Linked DNA regions of Ovis aries. The protein of the gene in region 1 interacts with the protein of each later gene in a biochemical or structural test. Links are inferred from orthologs where the notes say so. Each region holds a gene or a part of one and is shown in the gene's direction. Other genes may lie near its edges. The genes, in order: RB1, LIN9, CCNA1, AHR, CCND2, JUN and PRDM2.

Region 1 (3,500 bases):
ATTTTAGTGTCTGCCTACGCACTGCCCCTCCAATGAAATAACTAGAGAAAGATACGTGTTGTATACTAAAAGACCAAATGTTAACATGTGTGTTACAAATAGTAAATGTGATGACATTTAGCTCAACACAGGCTACAGCTGTCAGGCTTCACAGAGGTGATGTAGACCACATAAATAGGATTGGATCCAGATTAAGTATAGAGTGAAAGAAAGAAAGTCAAGTTGCTCAGTTGTGTCCGGCTCTTTGCGACCCCGTGGACTGTAGCCTACCACACTCCTCCGTCCATGGGATTTTCCAGGCAAGAGTACTGGAGCGGGTTGCCATTTCCTTCTCCAGGGGATCTTCGTGACCCAGGACTCGAACCCGGGTCTCCCGCATTGTAGGCAGATGCTTTACCATCTGAGTCACCAGGGAAGTCAGATATAGAGTAGTGGTCTTCAAACTGTTTTGCTTGTGATAAACTCTGAAAGAGTTGAAAGAAGGTTATACATACTTCCATATTTTAAAGCTCATAACTGGAAATCCATTTAATAGGTGTACAGAATTTCATTTCTATCATATTATACATGTGCTCTAAATATATTTTCCATCAAAATCTGGTTTTGCATTTAATTTTTGGAAACTTAGTTCATTTAATTTTTGGTAAATTAGCTAATGAAAGTTAATTATGCAAAGCTAATCCTCAGTGTCAAATCAGTCAAATCAGATTTAACTTCTATTGGAAAGTCTGATTTCATTCTAGAATCCAAAAAAACATGTTAATACACATCATGGAGATAATCACCTCACTCTGGTTCTAAAATAGATAAGACACAGTTTTTCCATGTGTTTGTCCTTTGGATAAAATGAGGTATTGTGCCCTCTTTAGCATTTTTAACCAAAGTTTTCTTAACTGTGAAAGGATTCTTCCTCAGGAGATATATAAATCAAATTATCTCTAATAGTACTTGGAAGGACTCAAATACTTTGAGTTTTTCAGATATTTAATATTTTATTTTAAACCTTTAAGAGTTAGGAATATCAACAAATACTATAAATCAATGATGATTTCAAATTGATAAGCTGTATGACTTATCAGCATGATATTCATAAAGTGAGTCCAAAGTTATTCTTCGCTAGACACCTCGTATTGAATTCTTGTAACATTTGCTCCAGTTATGCTGTGCTTTAAAAAAAAAAAAACAAAACAAGGTTCCAGAAAGCTCTTCCAGCTTTGCATGCTTCTGAGAAATAGCCCTGGTTTTGTGCTTGAGTAAATTCTGAAAATGAGGAACCAGGACTTTTGGAGTAGTAGTCAGAGTTGTTGGGAAGACACAGGAGGGTATGAGAAGAGCAGGTATTTACTGGGGCAGAGTTAGATGTGAAGTGAAGTGAAGTCACTCAGTCGTGTCTGACTCTTTGTGACCCCTTGGACTGTAGCCCACCAGGCTCCTCAGTCCATGGGATTTTCCAGGTAGGAATACTGAAGTGGGTTGCCATTTCCTTCTCCAGGAGATCTTCCCGACCCAGGGATTGAACCGAGGTCTCCTGCATTGTAGGCAGACACTTTACCATCTGAGCCACCAGGGAAGTTGGGTGTAGTTAGTCTGATTTTAACATTTTTCATATCTCCTGTTTGGTCCAAAGAAGCAGGAAGTTAAACGCAGGTATTACCTCTGCCTGATTTTTGACCCACCACAAACCTACAGTTCGGGGTTGCTAACTACAAAATGATCTAAAATAAAGAATTCCATAATTTGTAGACTTCAGAGAAGTTCCAGAAAATAAATCAAATGGTGTGTAACAGCGACCGTGTGCTCAAAAGAAGTGCTGAAGGAAGCAACCCTCCTAAACCACTGAAAAAACTGCGCTTTGACATCGAAGGATCCGACGAAGCAGATGGAAGGTAGGGACGGTGTTAGCACGTGTGTCAGGAGCTGAGCTGGTCGTCGGGAGAAACCCAGAGTGGCCGCTCTGGTCTTGGCTCCTGCCAGTCTCTCTCGTGCCAGTAATATTTTGGAAACTGTGAGGCTTGCTCAAAATAGAAGATGTGACTGCATCCCACAGTTAAAAAAGCACCACGTAAATCTACTGAAATTCATTAAAAATATCAGATGTTTACAAATCTAATCAGCCTTTACAGTGCCATGGATAGAATTTTGTTAGTTTTGATTAACATTAGATTTTAAAATGCTCACTCTTGAAAAACGCTACCCTGTTTTATAAGAACCACTGATAAAATATCTAGGCTCATAAATTTATGACATTTGTATTTTAGATGTTTGATTTATAATCCTTTGACAATAAAAGCTATTTACTAAAGAGCATAAATAGTCATTGAAAATGCCATCGTTTTTGGAAATTTCAGTTTTTCATTTATACATATACATATGAAATATTTTGAATTTTTAAATCTGCAGTAAACATCTCCCAGGGGAATCCAAATTTCAACAGAAACTGGCAGAAATGAGTAAGTACTTATTTGAGTAAGTAAGTAAATGAACAATTGTTTACATTGCAGAAAGCCTTTTCATTATAAAAGGATAAATTTATAGAATCCCTTTAATTAACAGACTTTTATGCATTTAAAATATAATTCACTCAACAATATGTTATTTACAAGTATCTGTGGATTAAATGTATGATGCAAAGTGCAGGTCATCTTCATCCATCCCAGCATCTACTGTGCAGCAGGAAGACTGAGAAGTGAAACCACATCTTCATTACGGATGGCTGTGGCTAGAAAATATTTTAGGATAGCAGAACTATAATGAGGAACTCTCTGAGTGCTGGATATAGGGACGATGTTAGAAACTTAGCATATATAAATATCATCACCCTTACGTAAAGAATAATCTTTTATTCTGCTATTACTGAACTTTCCTAATTTGCAAGTTTTAGAACTGGATTTCAAATAACAGTTTTCCATTACTAGAAATCAGAATTTTGATAAAGAATACTAAATCATTTCCAAGTTAGATGTTAGTTCAGTTCAGTCACTCAGTCGTGTCTGACTCTTGTGTGACCCCATGGACTGCAGCATGCCAGGCTTCCCTGTCCATCACCAACTCCCGAAGCTTGCTCAAACTCATGTCCATCAAGTCAGTGATGCCATCCAACCATCTCATCCTCTGTCATCCCCTTCTCCTCCCATGTTCAGTCTTTCCCAGCATCAGGGTCTTTTCCATGTCTTTACATCAGGTGGCCAAAGTATTGCAGTTTCAGCTTCAGCATCCGTCCTTCCAGTGAATATTCAGGACTGATTTCCTTTAGGATGGACTAGTTGGATCTCCTTGCAGTCCAAGGGACTCTCAAGAGTCTTCTCCAACATCACAGTTCAAAAGCATCAATTCTTTGGCGCTCAGCTTTCTTTATAGTCCAACTCTCACATACATACATGACTACTGGAAAAACCATAGCTTTGACTAGACAGACCTTTGTTGGCAAAGTAATGTCTCTGCTTTTTAATATGCTGTCTAGGTTTGTCATAACTTTTCTTCCAAGGAGTAAGCGTATTTTA
Region 2 (3,835 bases), on another chromosome or scaffold:
AGAAGTAACCTAAATGCCCATACATAGGGAATTGGCTGAATAACTTATGGCGCATCCCATAGTGGAGCGGGGTGCTGCTATAAGAATGATCAAGGAAGCTCTCTGTGCTAATGTAGGCACATAGCTTCCTTAACCGAGTGATCAAAGATAACATAAATAGCAGTGGGACAGATAAACATCATACGCCTCCTAGTCACAATGAACTGAGAACAGCAACATCACTTTTGTGGTGTTCCCGCCAAAGGCCTGTTACCTTAGTTTAATCAAGAGGAAACAGACAAACCCACATTGAGGGATATTATGCAAAATATTTGGCTGATATTCTTCAAAGCTATCAAGGTTATGAAAGACTGAGGAACTGTTCCAGAGTAAAGGAATCTAGAGAGACAGGACAACCAGATGTATTCAGGGGGAAAAGTAGCTAGGTATTGGGACAGTTGATGAAATCTGAATATAGACTGTTAGAAAATGGTATTATGTCTGTGCTAAACTTCCTGATTGTGATCAGATCATTGCTGTGTGGTTATTAAGTATTTAGGAGTAAAGAGGCACAGTGTTTGCAACTTATTCTCAAATAGTTAAGAGAAAAAAAATCTATATACAAAGAAAGGTCAAATGTTAACTCAAACACAGTAAAACATAAGCAATTAGTGAATCTGGGTAAAAGGTTATCAAGAAATTTTTGTTCTGTTCTTTTTTTAGAAGTACCTAAAAATTAAAAGGTACCCAAAATATAAAACAAATCAAAAAATAAATACTGTTAGAGGGAAAAAAAATTTCTAAAGTAAGAGTGAGATTGTTTTTGTTATACAAATGCTACTTTTATAAAAATCCTAATCTGAAAACAGGGCACAAACACACAGAAATCATCATGGCCTTATGAATGTATATCTTATGTTTTAATCGTCTGTATTCAGCTTGCTCCAGACCAAGGGCTCCAGCCTGCAGATCAGCCAACAGACATGAGACGAAGGTGTGAGGAAGAAGCACAGGAAATAGTTCGGCATGCAAATTCCTCAACAGGACAGCCCTGTGTTGAAAATGAAAATCTGACAGACTTAATCTCCAGGCTTACAGCTATTTTATTACAAATTAAGGTAAATTTCAGAGGACCTTTTGGAGAAAATATTAAGAATACTTTCTTCATTTTGACACCTAAACAAACTGCTAATTTGGTGCTAAAAAATTAAACTATATATTAGAGCAGAGTTTTTGTCTGTATTCGAAGTACAATTAAATTTTGAAAAAAAATTTTTTTTTCTTTAGTGTCTAGCAGAAGGAGGAGACTTGAATTCCTTTGAATTTAAATCACTTACAGATTCACTAAATGATATCAAGAGTACAATAGATGCTTCTAATATCAGGTAATTCATTAGATGTACTCTATTTTTATATGAAATTCATAGTGATTTCCAGTATAAGTACTGTAAGAATTATACATATTTATGAACTAGTCATGATTTTTATCCTTTAAGTAAATTGTAAATGAGCTTTCATTTTATATGCAGTCTATTGACAGAATTTTCAGATGGATTTTTTTATATAAAGGAATCAAAAGACATATAATATTTAGGTTTGGGTTTGGCATAGAGGTTTAACTTTGAAGTAAGTCTTCCCCAAAGAGAGATTTGCCTATCCTCTCTTTCCAGCACTCCCGTGGCTTCTTCGCTTCTCTCAAGCATAGCTTCTCAGTTACTACTGGAGTAGAATTATGGCTAATGTAAAGGGAAGATGTATTACTTATGTGGGGTTGTTATCTTAGCTATTTCCTAACTGAAATTCAGCCTTTTCTTTTTAGAAAAACTGTTTTTCTTAATTTTGTGAGATAAAGTAGTTAACCATGTTTCTTCTTTCTTTAGTTGCTTTCAGAATAATGTAGAAATTCATGTTGCACATATTCAGAGCGGCCTGAGCCAGATGGGAAACTTACATGCCTTTGCAGCAAATAACACCAACAGAGACTGAATAGAAGATTTAAGTATCCCAACTGCATAGGACATTGTTTTTGTGAAGTTCTCTTCCTTTATATAGGCTTCCAACACCAAATAACCTATCTGCTGGAAAACAAGGAAAATTTAAATCTCCAAATAAGGCATTTTAATATACTCTACTGCTTCTTGAACCAGCATTGCTGACCAGCATTATATTTATTTTTCTTTTATTACTCAGCTGCAGTAGCACTGCTTATGTTATATATGTTTATTAGCAAGTATTTTTAAACTGAAAATGTCTGAACATAACCTAATTTCATGGAAGAATATGTTGACCATTTTTTTAATGTGCATGAATTCAGCTCAACCCAGGCAGACAACTACTGCAGTGGAGAACATGAGGAAACATGGTCTTTTGCGCATTGTGCATGGCAGTGTGGAAACTCCATCTAGAAAATCACACCTCCAGTTCATTTAGTCGGTCACCACTTCAGTCTTCAAAAGATGACATCATGAGATGTGGGAAGTCCTCACTTTTAGGAAGCCACTGGAATATAGGTGGGAAATACGGACTTTACAAGTATATATGATATATACTTGCAATGTGACATGGTTCTATAGATCATTTTATAATAATAAATATTTTAATTTATCATAATTTATAAAAGAAACCTTTGTTGTTTGTCTGTTGAAAGAAAATGAAGGAGCAGGAAAGAAACATTACTGCAAGATGCTAAATTTCAGCAAATGGATTTGGCATGTCTTTTCCCATCAATTCAGGGCAAAAAGTGCTATTGTTATGGGATTTATTTTCAAAAGACTGATAACACACTATTTTCATATTTTTTTGTTTATTTGCACAATTTTTGAACCAGATTACTGGTTAAAATCCAACAGTTACACAATTTTTAAAGTAAAAAAATTTTATAAGGAAAACAAATATAACAGCCAGTGCTAGAAAATGGAGAAAAAAGGTTTGTATTTGGTTGTGGGCTTTTTTGGTTTTCGGTTTTTTAAGGAAACCCCTGCCTAAGATGTTAATCTTGTAAAAAGTGTGTATTTGGAATTTTCTCTGTTTTAATATAGAATATTATAAAGTCAAAATATAAATTGTTTTCAGATTTGGAGTTTAAGATATAGCTGTAGAAGTGGCTTTGATTCTTTTAGATGTCTCATAAAATGAGACTTTTTATATGTTAATGTATAATAAAACTGAAGATTATTTTCCATTTGAAATTTTTGTATAGTTTAAAAATGCTTCCATATTCTTTGTTGGTATTGTGCCACTGCAGAACTTTAGTGCAGAGTTTATATTTAGCTAAACTGTTACGTTTAATTAAGAAATGTATAAATCTTTTATTCTTAATATTTGTAATTCTAAATAAATTGATTTATGAAAATTAATGATCTTCATTTTCATTTAATTAATATAAGTTGATAAATATTTCTTCTATTTAAAATGTTTTTAAAATTATCTTTTCCACTAAACTATATTTTTAGGAGGGACAGTACAAATTTATTACTAAATCATTTTGAATTAAAATACCATTAGGATTTTTTTTTTCCCCATGGCTAAGTAATCACTGTGGAAAACACTGTGAGCATGTAAGTAACTTGGCTTACTATAGACCTAGAGAAAGGTTGATTTTTAATATATTCTGCCTAGACTCAGGTAAGCATTTTTTATATTTTTTCTTCTGCATTTAAGGCTGACTTGTCACACTTAAATTATACCTAGTTTTGTGCTTATGTAATTAAGCATCATCTGTATCTTTCAGTGCCATCATGTGTTGATGACAAGAACTGTGCCTAAGAATATATTTGAATTTTATTTTTAAGGAAGAAGAAATCTATGTAATTCAAAGTAGACATTTAGGATTGGCTGTGCATTAATTTAAATAATG
Region 3 (4,164 bases), about 6.8 Mb from region 1:
TCCAACTCTTTTCGACTCCAGGGACTATAGTCCACCAGGCTCCTCTGTCCATGGAATTCTCCAGGCAAGAATACTGGAGTGGGTAGCCATTCACTTCTCCAGGGGATCTTCCCAACCCAGGGCTCAAACTGGGTCTCCAGCATTACAGGAAGATTCTCTACCGTTTGAGCCTCTAGCTCCTGCCAAAGTAACCCTGGCTCTTGGAAAGACCTGCTCCTGAGTCCCTAACAGAGTCCACCCCTGACGCCTTTAGAGTCTCCAGAAGTCACAATAGTGTGGTCAGATGATGGAAGCCTCCCCAGAAGACTTCCAAAAGCAGCACCAGATGAGAAGGGGGCAGAAAGGCTCTTTTCCTCACCAGATAGCAGCACCTTGCAAAACCAAGCATTTGGGGCCTACCTACATATGTTGCCACAATTTGAGTTGTTACCAGAGCTGCTGTGTTGCCTTCATATCCGAAGGCATAGGAATTCCAGGGTGCAAAGGGATCGCTGCTTCCCAATGAATGAAAGTGGGTAATAAATGTGTAGAAGTTAGTTTCACATTAAAATCCATTTCTATTTTCCTTGGGCATCCAGGAGTGATTTGCAAGATGCCTCCTAACTGCCTCTTAACACCTGATTCAATCGCTTTCATCCTCATTTCCTGTAGAATACTTCAATTTTCCCATTAAAGTAATGCATACACATCGCTGAGTGAGCCCATTAATAAAGAATACTTAAGAAAAAACTGGGAGAGGTGTAAGATTAGCAATTATTTTCATTCAAAACAAGGAAGAAGGAAATAACGAGTTCTTAAAAAACGACCATTTGAATGGTTTCCATTATCTGTTTTATGGATGGGAACTTAGAGATGGGAATATTTAAAAATTAAAAACAGACAAAAGCAGTAACGTGTGTGTGTGTGCACAACAACATTTTCAAAAAAATAATAAAGGTAAAGATTCTTATACTTGGCTCTCTAGTTACCTCTGCAAGTTCCAGGGCTCCCTAGTTTCCAAGGACCCCCCCCCCCTTCCCTTCCTGCGTGGCCAAGGCCCCTTCTCCCTACCCTCACCTCTTACCCCCAAATTAGGCCCCCTGCTTCCACCCTACCCTGCCGCGGACCCCGGATCCAAGGATTTCCTTCCCACGTGACCAGGCCACCTGCCCAGTCCCTGGTTCCCAGCCTCCCCGCTATCCCCTCTCAACGTCCCAGACCCCGTCGCTGCCACTCGCGTTCCTTCCTCTTCCTGGGCCAGCTTCACGCTGGGGCTGCCGGAACCGTCGAGGAAGGTCTCTCTCCTGGGGACCTAGAGCACCACGTGCGACCCTAAAACCCCAGGTCTCCTCTCCCGCCCTGTCGGGTTACATGCACCGGAACCCAGGTCGGCCAGGCGTGGCCTCCGGTGCGCAAGGACCCAAAATGACCGAGAACACGCCGCCACCACGGACTGAGGCCGCGACTCCAACCAGAGGCCCGCTCGCTGCCACTTGGCTTTTCTCTGGGAGTAGGCTTAGGTGTGTGAGCTGGGGGAAAGGGGAGTGAGCCGCGCTGTCTGCCCGGCGCGGTCAAGGCGCCGCGGCCTCAGCAGCCCCGAGGGCCCCGCGTCGCCCTCCCGGGCCAAGGTTCTCAGGAGCGGGCCGCGGAAAAGACGTTAGCGGGAGGAGTTAGCGGCTGTTGGGGAACCGGTTCAAGTAAAAACAGTCCCTTCCAAACCCCGGCCATCGCGGGGCGGGCCTGCTTCTTCCCTTACAGATATCGGCCACAGTGGGGGCGTGGGCCGCGGCCACCGCGGCCGCCCGCCCAGACACGCCCGGGCAGGGCCGCTTAGGAGGGGCTCAGGGCCGCCGCCGGTTGGCCCCACCCAGCCCTGAACGCCCAAGGGTCGCGGTGCGTCCTCGGGTGCTGAGGTAGCCATAGAGATGAGGCCGCAGAGCGCGCACGCCCCCCTGCGGTTGGCATGGAAACGGCCCCCGCGAGGCCCGGGAGCTGCGCTGATTGGCCGATTCAACAGACGCGGGGGCCGGCGAGGGGCGGGGGGAGTTGAAAGTAATTAGCTCTGAGCTGGGCAGCAGACGCTGGGAGCCCAGCGCCCCGGCTAGAATCTATTAACACCTCCGTCCCCTTCCGCCCCGCCCCGCCCCGGCCCCGCCCCCTTCATTGGACCCTTATTCCCAATCCTCGTGTGCATTTGCTAATTGTTCGAGACTTATGTGTAAAGAGATAAGACTGAGAAGAGCGAGGTCCGCTGTGGGTTCCAAGCAGATTTTGGGGCCTTCTGTCTTGTGGGAGGAAGGCCGCGGAAGAGCACTCTGCTTGTCACTTGAGAAGGGGACGTACTTTCCCACAGTGATGTATCCTGGGTCACTGGTTTGCAGGGAAGGGGGTGGTGGAGTAATGGATAAGCATCACAGCCAGGAAAGACACGGGCTTGTAGGTTTGAACTCCCCACTAATGTGGGGGTTAGTGTCTTGGCTTGGAGGTTTGTCATATTCTTCTCTTCTTCCAGCCATCAGCCAGGTATTGGAAGAAAGGCTGGAGAGATTCAAATCATCGTTTTGGTTTAAAGCGGCTTTGATCACTTGCACTGTGGCTCAGGCCCTTTCAACCCTAATAACAGCAAGGAAGATCATGTGTCACAGGGCTGTGTCTTCTAGAGAGTCTCAGCATCCTTGGATCCTTATCCTTCGTGGAAGAGGCTGACTAACTGGCTTGTCTGTTTCTCCTTCCTTGACAGCAGTAAGCTGTGGAGACTGAGGCTATGCATCTCAGCAGCTCCAAGAGTGGAGTAGTGCTGGCTCCAGTGTCCCGAGGTCCTGATGCCTGTCAGATGATAACCAGAGGCCAGTTCGGCCAGGATCCGCCACAAAGAACAGTACTAGGAGTGCTAACTGAGAATGGGCAGTACAGGAGGACCTGTGGCCAGGTAATGCCTGGGAAGAGCTGGGAAGGCCCCCGTGTCTTGGTGGGAAGTGGGATCTCTTGAGATTTTCTGCACAAACTCCCCTTGAGTATTCAGCCCTGGAATCTGGCCTATAGGGGCACTGATTTTTTAAAAGAGCACTTTGTAAGGTCCCTTTTTCAGCTAGCAATATTAAATAATTTTCTTTGTTATTAGGAACTGTTTAAGTCAAATATGTGTAAAGTCACTTAAAAGAAAGTGAAAGTGAAGTCACTCAGTCGTTTCCAACTCTTTGTGACCCTGTGGACTGTAGCCTACCAGGCTTCTCCACCCATGGGATTCTCCAGGCAAGAATACTGGAGTGGGTTGCCATTTGCTTCTCCAGGGGATCTTCCCGACCCAGGGATTGAACCTGGGTCTCCTGCATTGCAGGCAGACGCTTCACCCTCAGCCACCAGGGAAGCACTTAAGTTCCGGGCTAAAAGGACATTGTGAATGCACCAAAATAAACTATTGTTGTTCAGTTGCGAAGGTGTGTCCAGCTCTTTGCGACCCCATGGACTGTAGCCTGCCAAGCTTCTTTACCCATGGAATTTCCCAGGCAAGAATACTGGAGTGGGTTGTGATTTCTTTCTCCAAAATTAACTTGTGGTACTGGTGTTTCTCTAGATCAGAATGGTATTCAGATTGACCTAGGCTGTGCCCTGAAGCATCTCCGATAACCTTTAAGTTCATTGGTGATGGTATTAGAATCAGGATTGGATCCCAGCATACTAGATTACTTACAAATGTGTGCTTTGAAAGTCAGCTTCTCCCCAGGACTGATAATGGACAGTTGGGCAGAAGATCATGGGCCATCTAATGTCCGGTTGCTTGTGCTTAATTAATCATAGGCACCTCCCTTAACAGAATGTAAACAGAGGGTAAATAAATTCAACACTTAAAATGCAAATAAGGAGTTTGGATCCTTAAGAATGAATTTTGAGATTAAAAAAACAACAACAACAAAACTTCCTCAAGTCTGTCATCACACCAGCTTCTCATAAGCTTGTACTGCATATCTATTGGCGGTAGTATAGTGGAGTAGGTGGGCAGGTATCCTTTCCATTGTACAGGTGAGAAAATTTGAGAGGTTTGAGAAAGCCTTCCCACCCAAATAAAAGTCATGATGGAGGCCAGATCAGAAGCTTCTCATCTACTGACTACTCCTACTCCTCTTCTACACAATGACACAAGTCATTTGTGTCTTGGTGGCATCTGGTTAGTGGGAGAAAATTACC
Region 4 (4,006 bases), on another chromosome or scaffold:
GATGTAAGTTGTAGAAGAGTTGAAGATATTTCATAGGGTTGATAGGATAATGGTTGAGTATATGACAGTGAGGTTTCAGCTAAAGAAAACAATGTTCAATTTATTGATGTTCTGAATGTGAGGTAACAAACTCACCGGATGGAAATGGCTTGATGACATTTTGAAATGTAGGAATGGACATGGTGCCAGATTTCATCTAGACTTCTTAGTCTGATTGCCCTTCTCCTGACAAGCAAAACACACTCCTGTGTTTACTTTTCTGGGTAAAGGCACAGGAGTAGTCAGAAATGTTGGAGGTACTTGAGATTGCTCTCTCTTGTTTGTCTATTTCCTTATTATCTGCTCTTTTTCCCCTCCATCCCACTGTCACTTCCCTGGACTTTCACCTGGACTACTTCAACAACTCTAACTACTCTCTCGGCATCCAGTCTTTTTCTCCTGTAATCCAGCTTGCACTGTCATTTAAAACTTCCAAAACACTAGAATGTCTCTTGCCTGCTGTGGATCATTCAAAGGTTTCCACTGACTGCAGAATAATATGTGGACTCTTGATCAGGCTTTATGATTTGACCCTAGATTCCTGGATTTCACTTCCAGCTTCTCTCTCTCCAGCTATACCAGACTGCTTATTCTCAAATGCCTCCTGCTGCCTGCCTTCCCACCTTCCTGAAATCTGACTGTAGTGTAACAGTTATTCTGCCTGGGGAAAAGATACTATACTGTCTTGTACGGAGACAAAAATCAAACTCAAAACAAAAAGACAAGAAAAATGCCTAGCCTTCAAGTTCAACTGAGATGTGGCCTCCTGAAGCCTTCTCCTCTAGGAAGATTTATAGTTCCACAGGTTATCTGCCAGCTCACTGTAATGCTTAGCCAAAAGTTGGCTGACTCACTGTCTCTTGCAAAGGTGAATTTAAGCTCACTACTTGGCATTTCTTTCCTTGAGGTTGTCTGATTACAAAGACTTTGGCTACACATAATTTGTCGTCACATGTCTTTATGGACTGGAAATGTGTCCACAGATTCCTCCCCTTGACCTCAAGAAGATGGCTACTGGAGAGGGTGGGGGTCATTACGCCTTACGTCATCACGTGCCGGGAGGGTGGGGCCCTCAAGGGAAATATAGCGGAGGGCGGGGCCAAGTAGGATGGGGCGGGGCTACGAGGGGCGGGGCGGGGCTGGAGAGGGGTCGGGGGCGCTTCTGCTATTCAGCCGGTGCAAGCAGCAGCGGGAGGCATCGCAGGGCGAGTCCACTTGACGCTAGGTTCTGAAAGCGTGACTGGGACCACCGGCTCAGACCAGAGGTAGCCGCATAGCCGAGCGGAAGCTGGTGGCACCCGTAGCAGCGGCCGGAGTCCGAGCTCCGCAGGCGGGAAGCACCCGGGATCGGGGAAATCCCGGGAGCAGCGCAGCGCGGCGGCGCCTCCCTCACCCAAGGGGCCGCAGCGACGGTCACGGGGCGCGCCGCCACAGCGAGCGACCCAGGCCGGGATTTCAAACAGACAGCCCAGGCTCCTCCTCCATTCGCGCCGCCTCACCTGCGGGCAGCGCGGCGCCGCCTCAGCTGGTACAGACGGCACCTGCGCCTCCAGCCTCCCCGGTCTCCGCCCCTCGCCCCTCGGCGCCAGGCCCGGGCCGCGCACCTGGACGTGCGGGGCTGCAGAAGCCCTGCGGCTCCTGGGGTGCTGTGTCTCCGCCATCGCCCCGGGAGGGCGCAGGTGGAGCAGCCGCGGTTAAGTGGAACCCCGTCCCAGTTGCCGCCGGGTCCCGGGGACAGGGCCGTCCGCGCCCGGGAGGAGCCGCAGCCAGCCAGGCACCATGAACAGCAGCAGCGCTAACATCACCTACGCCAGTCGTAAGCGGCGGAAGCCGGTGCAGAAAACGTGAGTCTCCGGAGCCTGTCCTCTGTGCTGTGGGGAGGTGGGCGCTCAGGCGCGGGACACTGCCGCACCCCGCCCCCAAATCCCCGAGGCCAGGGGATTAGGTCCCTTCCCTGTGCAGTCTGTGGAATCGAGATCTGGAGGCCGGTCGAGAACCCCAGGCCTTGGATTTTTCCGTGATTAATGATTGCATTTTAAAAATTGTGCCCCCCGTTCTCTGCCCCCCCCCCCGAACCCCTTCTCCAGAGCACCCTTTCACACCTCCAGCCATTTGCAGCGCTGTTCACTGTGCTGTGGTCCTAATTTGTTAACAGCTCTCCTCTGCCCTGTGGGGCTGGTGGATTAGTTAACCTAAGCCCGTCTTGAAATCCCCTTTCACATTTAATATCCTCCTCTGTTAGGTTAGAGGACGGTCACCATTCTTACTCCTGGTAGGGCGAGATGCTTTAAATAGCTAAACACGTGCTGTGTGCAAGAAAGGGGCTGAGTGCCTCTGAAGGTATTTTTTGGTTCCCTGAAACTGGCTTTCTGTTATACTCTTATTTACTTATTTGGCAGTAATTTTGTAGCGCTCAGCGTGAACATATCAATAAAATGTATAGAGGTGATAGCAGCTTTGAGTGAGTGTAGTAGCCAGGATACAGTAGAAGATTTGTATTTTAAGTCATCTTTTGGGGGAGATTTATCACTTTGGAAGTGGTTTTAGGGTCTGCAAATAATTTGGAGATGGAATTATTGAAACAGACATTTTCATTCTTAGCATCATTCTCTTAATTCCCTTTTCCCTCTACTTCAAAGTTTGGTCAATTCTGATAAAGTACAAACTTAGGTTTGTTTGTTTTGGTGGGATATTTATGTGATTATGGCAAATACTTTAATTTTTTTCAGAAAAAAAAAAGAAAAATCCATGCTTAACACAGATTTACTTTTTCGAGTTGGCAATGTTCATGTGTTTATTCCTAATTATTATCCTTGAGTTATTTTACTTCACATTTTTCAAACTTTCATAAACAATTTTAAGAACACTTTAAACGGTTACTCAGAACAAATCACAAGTGTGCATGTGGCTTAAGACTAAATTTAGGTCACTAATCCAAACCAGAAAAATAGCAGTTTAAAATTAATATTAAAGACCAGTTTAAAGGTTTCAGTATTCTGGGGTTTTAATTTCCTTTTAGAATTTCAGTGATTGCAGTCCTTCAGATTTAGACTTGGCATCAACAGAGGATATTCATCTATAAATAGACTGATTAAAATTTGGAAGACTTATCCTGCAGCGTGGTTGACATTAGGAATACTGTCAAGTCAGCAGTTTTTATCTTGGCAATTCTGTTGACATTGGTTTACAATACTTGTGTTTTATAGAATGGTTTCTTATAAAAAATGTGCTTGTCTAATTTGACTTGGTCCTTGATGGTTATTTAAAATTGAAAGGCATCACAGACACCTCTGTGTATTTTAGTTAATACAAAAGTACACTTGACATAATGTATAATATATATATGTATATCATAGGTTTTATTTGTATAGTTAGAAAACCTGAGAATTTTAAGTTATTGCATTTCAGGAAGTATGTTACACAGGACCTAGGTGACTTCAATGAAATGCTCTAATTTTTGTATTCATTTTAAAGTTTAACATTTGGGGCTTCTTGTTACCATTTTATTAAAGATTTTCCCTGTAAATATATTATTGCACATTTTCTTTTTTTTAAGGATGTACCTTTTATTATTAGCAATTAAATATGCTTTCTAAGACTTTAATATATTTGTGTTTAATATCTCCTGTAATACAACCAAAGTATTTCCACATTCACCCTTATTTTATCTAGTTAGCAGAGATGTTTATCAGATCTTTACTGAGCATCATGCATGGCTTCTAATCCTACAAACGCCTTAAAATGTCACTGCTCCATAAGAAAAGCCTAGTGCTGACATTTACAGAATCACGGGAAGTTGTTCATAAATTGTTTTTAACTGAATGAAAAATGATGAACTTAAAATGCAGTTAGAGTCCATTTTAAGAATGGAGCCATAAACCCAGTATTTTAATGTTTTTTAAGTTAAATTACTATAACTAATAGACACTCTAATATGTTGGTATATTGTCTGAAAAATTCATCTTGT
Region 5 (3,161 bases), on another chromosome or scaffold:
CCATCCTCATTTCTGCAGCAACTGCTACGGTCCTTCCTTTTCTCTCGAAGCAAGAAGTATCAAAGAGGAAGAGCTGGTCACTGTCAAAAATGATTTACATTGACTGAAGGAAGGAGAGTCTGTGTTTTGTGTGATATCTTTCTTCATTTTATTCAGGAAAGCTTGAAGGTTTGGGGCTGCAAGTTAATGTACTTGTGATGTTCGATGCCTGTGTTATCTTGAAGTCCTGTAGAAGTGACTGCCCGGTGTACCAGCCCGCCCCGAAGGACTTTCTCAGAACTTTCCTTTTAGGGTCTCAGGCTGCTGGGAGGGAAGCCTGAATACCAGGAAGATCAGGCACCTGGGTGACCTGCAGGGAGACTGTCCATGACCCCCTATCAAGCTGCTTAGCTCTCTGGAGCCCCATCCCCATGTTCAGAGGACCACCCATCTCAGCCGCTGGTGTGGCTAATGCAGAAATGGTCATGGCATCCTGGGTTCATCGTATTGTTGGGTAGCAGTTGTGTTGACACAGAAACAGAGTCTTGGAGGAAGGAAAGTCGACAGGGTTGGTGGAGAGCTTCGTAGGGGACCAGCCAGAGCAGTGTTGACTGTTGTCAGTTTTTGCCTTGTTAACCTGATGCAAAGAGTGAACTCATTGGAAAAGACCCTGATGCTGGGAAAGACTGAGGGCAGGAGGAGGAAGGGGCAACAGAGGATGCGATGGTTGGTTGGCATCACCACCTCAATGGACATGACTTTGAGCAAACTCCAGGAGATGGCGAAGGACGGGGAAGCCTGGCGTGCTGCAGTCCGTGGGTTCGCAAAGAGTCTGCATCCCTGCTGGACGCTCCATCCCTGGTGCGCGTTCCTCTGTGCCCCTCACCTGTCTTGAGCAAATGCTCACTCGTACCTCATTTCAGAGAAACCTCAGGAATTTGTTCAGATTCCAAGACTTCCACTTTGTGATGAACGATTAGAGCTTCATTTGGACATCTCAACTGATCCTCCCTCTGTGAGCGTCTCCTGAGTCTTACATTACAAATGGGGAAACCAAGGACAGAGAAGGAGAATAACTCAGTGGTGCCCACAGGTCTGGTCGTGGGGACAGCAGATACCACCTCCCTCTGTCCCTCTTCACTCATTCTGAGTGGTATTTCGTATCTGCTCTCAGCGCTCGGTCCAGATGTTAATTTTCCTAAAAAGCTGTGGTTTAACAGTGTACGGTGGCCGAGAGATACAAAAGGAAAATGTGGGGGCATGGAAACTTTCCTGGGAGTTCCAACTTTATTTTAGATCTTTGGAAAATAGAGATAATGCTTGTGTGCTTGGCAGACTGCAACCTCTGGGCAGTGAAAATTGCGTGGTGGAGCAAACACAAGGGGAACATACATGAAACTCTGAAAAGACCCAGGCAGAGTGGAGTTCACATAGTTTCCATACGTTTACGAGAGTGCCAGGAAACCAGTCTTGATGAGTAGAGAGGTCGGGAGATGCTGAGTTGGCCAAAAAGTCCATTCAGATTTTTCCACAACATTTTACAGGAAAAGCTGAACGAACCTTTGGCCTACCCAGTATCTGCTGTGAGCAGTTACTTCAGCTCTCGCCCCGGTTGCTAGTGCCAGCCACCGTCCCACCCTGACGACGCCCATGAATTCCTGCTGCGTCAATGTCGCCCAGTTTAGAGGAGCTTCTGCGTGGGGCTGACACACCCTGAATCTTCCCTACCAAATATAGACTGATCTCAAAGCAGTGCTGCAGTTTTTTCTTTTTGCTTTCTCCCAAATTAGACGGCTTAAGTGTCCAGAACGTTGTAAACACTCTGTGTTGTGTTTTTTATGAGAGTTAAAGAAATGGTAAACAAGTGGAGAGGCGAATCTGCTTGTTTCTGAGTACGGTTGCAGTGGCTGGGAGGCTCAGTGTAGTTTAGTCCTTTCGCTTATATCTGCCCTTCAGGTCGTCTAGTTCTGTCACACTGTCTGGAGGGCTCACCTTCCCCTTTTCACACTCACCATGCAGTGGCCCCAAGCAGGAAGCATCCCGCTGGCCCTTGAGTTACCAGGTGCTGCATGGCCGCAAATGGCCCCTCGCCTTGGCCAGCGCTGCCCGGGCTTCTGATGAAATGCACATCCTGAGATGCAGCTGGTTCGGAGAGGGCTGAGAATCGCATTTCTAGCTAGCTTCCAGGTGGTGCGGATGCTGCAGATGCTGCTGGCCTGTGGACCCCGCTTGGAGTGGTTCCCCGGCCACCAGGAAGACGCACCTCCTTCCATGTTGACTTTCTTTCTACTGGAAGCAGAGAAGGACATGGCAGCCCACTCCAGGATTCTTGCCTGGGAGATCCCATGGACAGAGGGGCCTGGCGGGCTGGAGTCCAGGGGGTCGCGAGAGGCGGAAATGACCTGGTGACTACACCACCACCACCTGCTGGCGTGTGGAGTCAGGCGGGCTGGAATCGTGCGTGCTCTCTGTTGATTGCTGTGTCCCGGTGCCCTTGCTAACGGCCCTGGTCTCGATGCTTCTCTCTTCTAGGATTGCCTCAAAGCCTGCCAGGAGCAGATTGAGGTGGTGCTGCTGAACAGCCTGCAGCAGTACCGTCAGGACCAGGGCGACGGATCCAAGTCGGAGGATGAGCTGGACCAAGCCAGCACCCCTACGGATGTTCGGGATATCGACCTGTGAGGATGTGGGGCGGGCCCAATGGGAGGGGTGCGTCCAATCCGCTCTCTCCTTCTCTCTGGTTGTATTTGGTTCTCTTACATTTTAGGATGAAACTTAAAAAAAAAAAAATTCTGCCCCCACCTAGATCCTATTGAAAGATCTTTTAGAAGTGAGAGATAAAGGTCCTATAAAAACAAAATCATTACAAGCATTTGGTGCCTATTTGAAGTACAACAGAAGGGAATCCCTTATATATGCCAAGTTACTGTTTGATGATGTTAAAAGTCATAGTAATATGCTTACAGGAAAACCTGCAGAGTAGCTAGAGAAAAATGTACGCCTGCACTATGGGAACAAATTAGAGACTCTTTTTTTTCATGTTATGAACTAGCACGTATATACCCCTGTTGGATAATTTGGAAGAACTGCGGATGCCACGTATGGCAGGATTGGATTGTGAAGCAATGAACTTGAGAAGGAATTAGGAATCAAGGAGGGACAGGATGGGGAGGGAGTGACAA
Region 6 (4,282 bases), on another chromosome or scaffold:
TAGCCCTGGAGACAATGACTCTACACTAAGCCAGGCCTATGAGGTGGGTCTCACCAGCCCCACTTGCAGATGAAGAAACTCAGGGAAGTTCTCTGATTCGCTCCCTTCACATTGCGGCAGCGTTGGCCAGGAGAGAACCCACGACTCCAGACTTCGGTATTCTTTCCACCGTACACTTTCGTCCCTAAGGGGCGCGGGGTTGGGGGAGGAGAAGAATAACCACCACTGAAAAGGAACCACTTACATGGGTCTAGCGCTTCCTAGAGGCTACACAGGATATGGGCCCACCCCCCAGCCGGGAGCGGAGAAATTTTAAATCTTTATTCTACTCACTCGCTGCGTGACTTTTGGCAAGTGTCTGCTGCTCTCGGACTTGTTTTCCCGGAAGCAAATCGGGGCGGGAGGAGTGGCGTGTGCGTGTGTGTGTGTTTGTGTGTACATGTGATGTGCGGTGTGTCTATGCATGTTGTGCGGGGGCGGAGAGTAGACTATCACCGGGGTTCCCCGAGTTTCGGATTCTCCAAACGCTCGTTCAAACTAGACGCCGAGTTGCCCCTTAAATCCACCTCCTGTAAGAAACCTTTCCGAGGCAAAGATGCGAACCCCCGCACCCTTTCTCCCACGGTCGGGAGGGTGAGGTGGGAGTGCGGAGGGGACTTAGCCGAACACCCAGTTTCAAGCAATGCAAATCACTGGACTTCCAGACAGAGCCAGACAGTCGCTACTGAACTTGACCAGGAGACAAACTTCAGGGCATTCTCAACGTGGGGGGCCGACTCTCACGAACTGCCCCCAAATTTAAAAGCCACTTTCACTCGCCCCCACAGGGGACTTAACAGAGCCACCTTAAGGGCGGTGCTCCCGCCCCCCGGAAGTGCGGGGGGGCCAGGAACCCAGGCGCTCAACGGGCCCGGCCCGCCCCGAGCGGCGGCGAAGTGCCCGCGGGTGACATCGAACCCCCAAGTGGGGAAATACCACCCGCCCCGCGCCCTCGGCCCCAGACACCTGGCTCGGTTCCCCTGGCCTCCTGGGTCCTAGCATCCCTGGCATTCCCATCCGAGCCCTAAACTTCAGCCCACTTCCCTCAGAGGCTGGGAGCGCCGGAGTCCGCCCGGCTCGCGGCAGCCACCGTCACTAGACAGTCAAACCCCAAGACGTCAGCCCACAATGCACCGGGCGGGCCGGGAAAGACGCGTCGGGGAGGGAGGGGGAAGAGAGGGGCGCGAGTCGCGCGGAGCGGGTTGGGGGGAGGAGGAGAAAGAAGGGCCCAACTGTAGGAGGGCAACGGAGCATTACCTCATCCCGTGAGCCTCCGCGGGCCCAGAGAAGAATCTTCTAGGGTGGGGTCTCCATGGCGACGGGTGGGCCCGCCCCCCTGAGAGCGACGCGAGCCAATGGGAAGGCCTTGGGGTGACATCATGGGCTATTTTTAGGGGTTGACTGGTAGCAGATAAGTGTTGCGCTCCGGCTGGATAAGGGCTCAGAGTTGCACTGAGTGTGGCTGAAGCTGCGAGGCGGGAGTGGAGGTGCGCGGACGCAGGCAGGCAGACAGGCACAGTCAGTCGAGAAGGACAGCAAATCCTATTTTCCAATTTCTCTCCAACTGCCCGGAGCTAGCGCTTGTGGCTCCCGGCCTGGTGTTTTGGGGAGCGCCGGGAGAGCCCCTTCGCCAGCCGCCCCCAGGCGGAGAGCCCCGCTGCGCGGGCGCTGCTGACAGCGCGGAGAGCGGCCACTGTCCGCCCGGGGAAGTCCGGAGAGCGGCTGCAGCGGCAAGAACTTTCCCGGCCAGGAAGACAGGAGACAAGTGGCCGCCGGGTCCCGGAACGAACTTTTGCAAATCTTGCCTCCGCCCGAAGCTGCCGCGGCGGCGGTGAAGAAAAAGAGGCGGCGGAGAGAGGAGGACGTGCGCTCCGCTTCGCTCGCACCGGTTGCTGAACTTGGGCGAGCGCGAGCCGCGGCTGCCGGGCGCCCCCTCCCCCTCTCAGCGGAGGAGGGGACAGTCTTCCGAGTCGGGGCGGCGGACACCCGCCGCCGGCAGGCAAACGCGGGGTCCGCGCTCCCTGCTATCACCGGGAAGCGAGTTCGTCCGCGGGCTCTGAGGAACCGCTGCGCTCGAGAGAGCTCCGTGAGTGACCGCGACTTTTCAAAGCCGGGCGGCGCGCGCGAGCGGACAAGTAAGAGCGCGGGCGGCGTCTTAACCCTGCGATCCCCCGGACCGAGCTGGTGAGGAGGGCGCCGGGGGCGGGGGCTGCCAGCCGGCGGGGGCGCGCGCTCTTCCAGAAACTTTCCTTGCTCACTGCCCGGGGAGGCGCGGGTGTCCCCCGCTTGCCAGCGCGCTGTTGCGGCCCCGAAACTTCTGCGCGCAGCTTAAACTAAGCCCACGCGAAGTGACGGACTGTTCTATGACTGCAAAGATGGAAACGACCTTCTACGACGATGCCCTCAACGCCTCGTTCCTCCAGTCTGAGAGCGGCGCCTACGGCTACAGTAACCCCAAGATTCTGAAGCAGAGCATGACCCTGAATCTGGCCGACCCGGTGGGCAGCCTGAAGCCGCACCTCCGGGCCAAGAACTCCGACCTCCTCACCTCGCCCGACGTTGGGCTGCTCAAGCTGGCGTCGCCCGAGCTGGAGCGCCTGATCATACAGTCCAGCAACGGGCATATCACCACCACGCCGACCCCCACCCAGTTCCTGTGCCCCAAGAACGTGACGGACGAGCAGGAGGGATTCGCCGAGGGCTTCGTGCGCGCCCTGGCCGAACTGCACAGCCAGAACACGCTGCCCAGCGTCACGTCGGCGGCGCAGCCGGTCAGCGGGGCGGGCCTGGTGGCCCCGGCGGTGGCCTCGGTGGCGGGCGGCAGCGGCAGCGGCGGCTTCAGCGCCAGCCTGCACAGCGAGCCGCCGGTCTACGCCAACCTCAGCAACTTCAACCCCGGCGCGCTGAGCAGCGGCGGCGGGGCGCCCTCCTACGGCGCGGCTGGCCTGGCCTTTCCCGCGCAGCCCCAGCAGCAGCAGCAGCAACCACCGCAGCCGCCGCACCACCTGCCCCAGCAGATACCCGTGCAGCACCCGCGGCTGCAGGCCCTGAAGGAAGAGCCGCAGACGGTGCCCGAGATGCCCGGGGAAACGCCGCCCCTGTCCCCCATCGACATGGAGTCCCAGGAGCGGATCAAGGCGGAGAGGAAGCGCATGAGGAACCGCATCGCTGCTTCCAAGTGCCGGAAAAGGAAGCTGGAGAGGATCGCGCGGCTGGAGGAAAAAGTGAAAACCTTGAAAGCGCAGAACTCGGAGCTGGCGTCCACCGCCAATATGCTCAGGGAACAGGTGGCCCAGCTTAAACAAAAAGTCATGAACCACGTTAACAGCGGGTGCCAACTCATGCTAACGCAGCAGTTGCAAACGTTTTGAGGCGAGACTGTCGGGGGCTGAGGGGCAACGGAGAAAAAATATAAATAACACAGAGAGACAGATTTGAGAACTTGACAAGTTGCGAGAGAGAAACAGAGAAAAAAACAAAAGTGTCCGAGGACTAAAGCCAAGGGTATCCAAGTTGGACTGGGTTGCGTCCTGACGGCGCCCCCAGTGTGCACGAGTGGGAAGGACTTGGCGCGCCCTCCCTTGGCGAGGAGCCAGGGAACGGCCGCTCGCGGGCTGCCCGGGTTTGCGGACGGGCTGTCCCCGCGCAAACAGAACGTTAGACTTTTCTTTAACGTTGACCAAGAACTGCATGGACCTAACATTCGATCTCATTCAGTATTAAAGGGGTGGGGTGGGGGAGGGGGTTGCAAACTGCAATAGAGACTGTAGATCGCTTCTGTAGTACTCCTTAAGAACACAAAGGGGGTGGGGGAGGGGAGGCGGGAGGGAGGTTTGTGAGAGCGAGGCCCAGCCTGCAGATGAGCTCTTTCTGGCCTGCCTTCCATAACTGTGTATGTACATATATATATTTTTTAATTTGATGAAAGCTGATTACTGTCAATAAACAGCTTCATGCCTTTGTAAGTTATTCATGTTTGTTTGTTTGGGTGTCCTGCCCAGCCTTGTTTGTAAATAAGAGATTTGGAGCACTCTGAGTTTACCATTTGTAATAAAGTATATAATTTTTTTTATGTTTTGTTTCTGAAAATTCCAGAAAGGATATTTAAGAAAATACAATAAAATATTGAAAAAGTTACCCCTCCCCCAACCTCTTTTCTGCATTATCTATAGATTACTTGTCTAGGTGGAGTTGAAAGAGTTGAGTGTCAATTAAAATCACTGTGGGTGCTTCTTACTAGCAG
Region 7 (3,500 bases), on another chromosome or scaffold:
TACATTTTTGCATATTTGTTTATTGGACCAGAAAAAAAAGTCAAAACAGAACTGGGTTTTCTTCTTTTTGGTATTATCCTTCTGTTTCTTAACTTGCAGAACGCAGCTGAGCCTGTGGCAACCACGGAGACCCTGGCCGAGGTACCTGAACATGTGCTTCGAGGACTTCCGGAGGAAGTGAGGCTTTTCCCATCTGCTGTTGACAAAACTCGGATTGGTGAGTGCTAGGGTCAGGGGAGGAGAGGGCAGGGAGAGCGGGCTGTGGCCAGGCTTCCTCTGGGGGCTTCTCAGGTGGGGAGCTCACTCCAAAAGCAACACATATATACTCTTGGCTTGTTTTGAAGAGTTTGTTTTCTAGTTAAGAATCCAGGGTGGACAGGAACACCTTCGCACACACCCACCCTCCTTCGTGACTCAGCCTGAGCGGCCCCTTCCTTTGAGTCTCCCCAGGGCTCTTCTTCCCGCAGAATATATTGCTTCTGCCTCTGATTTCACTGTAATTTGAGTGTGATGATGGTATTATATTTATTTCATTATTTTGTATTTGTTTTCATATCCATCACTTGCATTGATTGTGAGTGCCTTCATTTCTTATTTATCTTTATGCCTCCAGTAACTGATGCTCTTCATGGGCCTCAGTGGGTATTTGAATGATGAGCATGTCCCAATGCTTCTTCCTAGAATTTCTTGTTGAATATAGCCAAACTTTTTTGTATTGAGTCTTGTTTTTGTGTTCTAATCTTTAGATAGAAGGCTAAGGAAATAAGTTACAAAAGTTAGAGTACAGTCTTAGAAGAAATCATGTTTATGTCCTGTTTTCTTTTTTTAAAGGTGTTCTTCTGATATTCTGATATATATGTGTGTGAATAAATTTTTAATAAATGCTTTTCCTAATTCTTGCTGAGAATTATTCAGTGAGTAATTTGTTCATGAAAGTGGTTGATTTTATCTCTCCACTAATTAGTTATTAGCTGGGATATCAAATGGGATTCATAGCAGATTTACAGGTGGTGGAATTAGTTCATCATGGCTGAGCCAGTGGCTGAGACCACAGCCTTCATCTGTACATGAGGAAACTGAGCCCAGAAGGCAAGGGAGCATGTTCAGAGCAGTGCTGTCAGTAAGAGCTGCTGTGGCACTGGGTCCATCGACACGGGTGTCTCCTGCTGTTTTACCCGCTGCTTCTGCATCTTGTTTGCCTTATGGTCACTGGGAAGACTATAGAAATACCCCTGAGAATACCACAAAGCAGCATACGTCTTGGTTGGTTTAAACTCTGAAGACTGAGTTGTTTAAGCTTTCAGGAAACAGAGCAGAGAGCAAAGAAACTTCAAAAACATTTACTACAGGACACTATGTTTCTAACCATTTAAGGGTGTTTTTTCTTTCTTTTTTTTTTTTTCTTTTTTTGACAACTTGAAATCTGTAGAAAAGGAGAAAGAGGAACTTTGCATTTTTACTGCATTCGATATTTTTTTTCTCTTAATTGTTGTGATTATCTCTTCTCCAAGTGTTTGTGATTATGCTCTCTGGGTAATTTTACATGTAAAGATTAAAAATAAAACCATAAGATAATCTTTCCTACTTATAAAACAATATAGATTCTTTACAGGCTATTAGAAGAATACAGAAGACTGTTGAGAAGAAAAATAAAAATCCCCTTTGAATACTTGATTTAGTTTGATTTTCTGTGATCTCAGTTAACATTGTCTTGCTTTTAGGGTGACTAGTCTTTTCAGTAACTGAATTGCTGTTAGTGCTTTAGTCTTTAACCACAATGCATTGTGAAACTGTTGGTTTTATTTTCTAGGTGTCTGGGCCACTAAACCAATTTTAAAAGGCAAAAAGTTTGGGCCATTTGTCGGTGACAAGAAAAAAAGATCTCAGGTTAAGAATAATGTATACATGTGGGAGGTAAGAAATGCTCCTTGTCCTTTGCTTATCAGAGTTCAGTACATTTTTAAAGGATTTGAAAGGATTTATTTTAAAGGATTTATCTTCTCAGGATTTGACCTTCTGAAATTAATCAGTCAACTTAACATGTTCTTTAAAATAAAGAATATTTTTAATAGAAAATGTGTTTCCTTGGATACAGATTGCTGTTCACATTTGTAGTTTGAAAGTGCTTTGCTGTCTTCAACAATAAATGTCAAATTGGCGTCTTATTTGCCTTGTTCAGGTTGCTTTGCTTTGCTTTGCAGCTGAGAGTTTGGTCTGCCACTTATAGGCTTGCAGACGAACGCCAGTAAAAGACACACCAAGGTGGCCGCTAATATCAATAAAGTACAGTTAGGATCTTTTCTGTCATTTAGAAAGTAATCTCTGTGTTGCTGAAACATTCAGAGTTGGACATACTTAGCACACTGTGTATATAGTTGTTGTTGTTTAGTCCCTAAGTAGTGTCCAGCTCTTTTGCTTCCTCATGGACTGTAGCCCACCAGGCTTCTCTGTCCATGGGATTTCCCAGGTGAGAATACTGGAATGGGTTGACATTTCCTTCTCCAGGGAGTTTGCCTGACCCAGGGATTGGACCTGTGTCTCCGGCACTGGCAGGCGATTCTTCACTACTGAGCCACCTGAGAAGCCGTGTTTGTGTAGTGCTTTGACTTTTTAGAAAGGCTTTCATTCTGTTTGTTTCACATTCTCTCAATGATCCTGGAAGATGGGGAGCGGTCACACACTCCTTATGCAGGGAAGCGGTGTAGACCAGAGGGAGAGGCTCCCTTTGTGGGCACACGTGTGGAGGGTGTTGTCAGAGCAGAACCACGTGTCCATGTGTCCTGCTGCCTGACAGTAGGCAGTTAGAAATGCTTCATTGGTTTGGTGGCGCTGGTGTAGTCACTAAATTGTGTCCGACTCTTGCGACCTCATGGATCTGCCAGGCTCCTCTGTCTGTGAAATTTCCCAGGCAAGAATACTGGAATGGGTTGCCGTTTCCTTCTCCAGGGTATCTTCCCCATTCAGGGGTCGAACTCGGTTGGATCGAACCTAGGTTGGCTGTGTTGCAGTCCGTCTCCTGCATTACAGCTGGATTCTTTGACCGACTGAGCCAGGGTTCAAATCCTGCCTTTGTGACCTGGGTAGGGCCCTTAACCTTTGGGCCCTAAAACCCTCCATTTAAAAATGGGGAGAATAAAAAATAATCTCATGAAGAAAGCTGTGAAGATAAAATATCTTATTATTGTTTCTTAAAGAGTTGCCTATGAATTAAGCATTTCTATTAAATCTAATTCAGGTCAGCAGCCTCCGTGAAACTCCTCAGGTTCTTGTGGAACTCAATGGCATGACTCCCAGCCAGAGAAGTTTTTTTGGTGGTGAGGAAAAGCATTCCTGTCAGATTGTCTTAGGTGGAAATCACATCTGTTTAACATGTAAACATATAAAAGCCTAAAAATAAAATTTGCCTGGGAAATGTCTGGGGAGTTTCAGTCAAGAAGTTCTGTGGTGTCTGTCCGTCTGTGGTATGTTGCTCTTTTTCTCAGTGCTGTGAACAGTGTTTC

Evidence for each region.
Region 2: the proteins of RB1 (region 1) and LIN9 form a complex in vitro, tested with the Homo sapiens proteins (2 studies listed by BioGRID). The link is inferred for Ovis aries from reciprocal best matches to the Homo sapiens genes RB1 and LIN9.
Region 3: the proteins of RB1 (region 1) and CCNA1 form a complex in vitro, tested with the Homo sapiens proteins (2 studies listed by BioGRID, with this or other methods). The link is inferred for Ovis aries from reciprocal best matches to the Homo sapiens genes RB1 and CCNA1.
Region 4: the proteins of RB1 (region 1) and AHR form a complex in vitro, tested with the Homo sapiens proteins (2 studies listed by BioGRID). The link is inferred for Ovis aries from reciprocal best matches to the Homo sapiens genes RB1 and AHR.
Region 5: of the proteins of RB1 (region 1) and CCND2, one has a biochemical effect on the other in vitro, tested with the Homo sapiens proteins (4 studies listed by BioGRID). The link is inferred for Ovis aries from reciprocal best matches to the Homo sapiens genes RB1 and CCND2.
Region 6: the proteins of RB1 (region 1) and JUN form a complex in vitro, tested with the Homo sapiens proteins (2 studies listed by BioGRID). The link is inferred for Ovis aries from reciprocal best matches to the Homo sapiens genes RB1 and JUN.
Region 7: the proteins of RB1 (region 1) and PRDM2 form a complex in vitro, tested with the Homo sapiens proteins (2 studies listed by BioGRID, with this or other methods). The link is inferred for Ovis aries from reciprocal best matches to the Homo sapiens genes RB1 and PRDM2.

What each region holds. Positions count from the first base shown.
Region 1 is NC_056063.1:18,570,850-18,574,349, forward strand, and holds part of RB1 (retinoblastoma-associated protein), read left to right. Parts: intron 1-1,743; coding exon 1,744-1,886; intron 1,887-2,400; coding exon 2,401-2,450; intron 2,451-3,500. UniProt on the Homo sapiens protein: Tumor suppressor that is a key regulator of the G1/S transition of the cell cycle. The hypophosphorylated form binds transcription regulators of the E2F family, preventing transcription of E2F-responsive genes.
Region 2 is NC_056065.1:28,526,715-28,530,549, reverse strand, and holds the end of LIN9 (protein lin-9 homolog), read left to right. Parts: intron 1-917; coding exon 918-1,097; intron 1,098-1,266; coding exon 1,267-1,364; intron 1,365-1,859; coding exon 1,860-1,965; 3' UTR 1,966-3,335; downstream 3,336-3,835. UniProt on the Homo sapiens protein: Acts as a tumor suppressor. Inhibits DNA synthesis. Its ability to inhibit oncogenic transformation is mediated through its association with RB1. Plays a role in the expression of genes required for the G1/S transition.
Region 3 is NC_056063.1:25,417,567-25,421,730, reverse strand, and holds the start of CCNA1 (cyclin-A1), read left to right. Parts: upstream 1-1,364; 5' UTR 1,365-1,499; intron 1,500-2,027; exon of another isoform or gene 2,028-2,719; 5' UTR 2,720-2,743; coding exon 2,744-2,908; intron 2,909-4,164. UniProt on the Homo sapiens protein: May be involved in the control of the cell cycle at the G1/S (start) and G2/M (mitosis) transitions. May primarily function in the control of the germline meiotic cell cycle and additionally in the control of mitotic cell cycle in some somatic cells.
Region 4 is NC_056057.1:26,779,504-26,783,509, forward strand, and holds the start of AHR (aryl hydrocarbon receptor), read left to right. Parts: upstream 1-1,206; 5' UTR 1,207-1,818; coding exon 1,819-1,883; intron 1,884-4,006. UniProt on the Homo sapiens protein: Ligand-activated transcription factor that enables cells to adapt to changing conditions by sensing compounds from the environment, diet, microbiome and cellular metabolism, and which plays important roles in development, immunity and cancer.
Region 5 is NC_056056.1:211,597,775-211,600,935, reverse strand, and holds the end of CCND2 (G1/S-specific cyclin-D2), read left to right. Parts: exon of another isoform or gene 1-1,731; intron 1,732-2,511; coding exon 2,512-2,661; downstream 2,662-3,161. UniProt on the Homo sapiens protein: Regulatory component of the cyclin D2-CDK4 (DC) complex that phosphorylates and inhibits members of the retinoblastoma (RB) protein family including RB1 and regulates the cell-cycle during G(1)/S transition.
Region 6 is NC_056054.1:33,493,864-33,498,145, reverse strand, and holds JUN (transcription factor Jun), read left to right. Parts: upstream 1-1,482; 5' UTR 1,483-2,402; coding exon 2,403-3,410; 3' UTR 3,411-4,176; downstream 4,177-4,282. UniProt on the Homo sapiens protein: Transcription factor that recognizes and binds to the AP-1 consensus motif 5'-TGA[GC]TCA-3'.
Region 7 is NC_056065.1:53,165,168-53,168,667, reverse strand, and holds part of PRDM2 (PR domain zinc finger protein 2), read left to right. Parts: intron 1-99; coding exon 100-217; intron 218-1,810; coding exon 1,811-1,914; intron 1,915-3,500. UniProt on the Homo sapiens protein: S-adenosyl-L-methionine-dependent histone methyltransferase that specifically methylates 'Lys-9' of histone H3. May function as a DNA-binding transcription factor.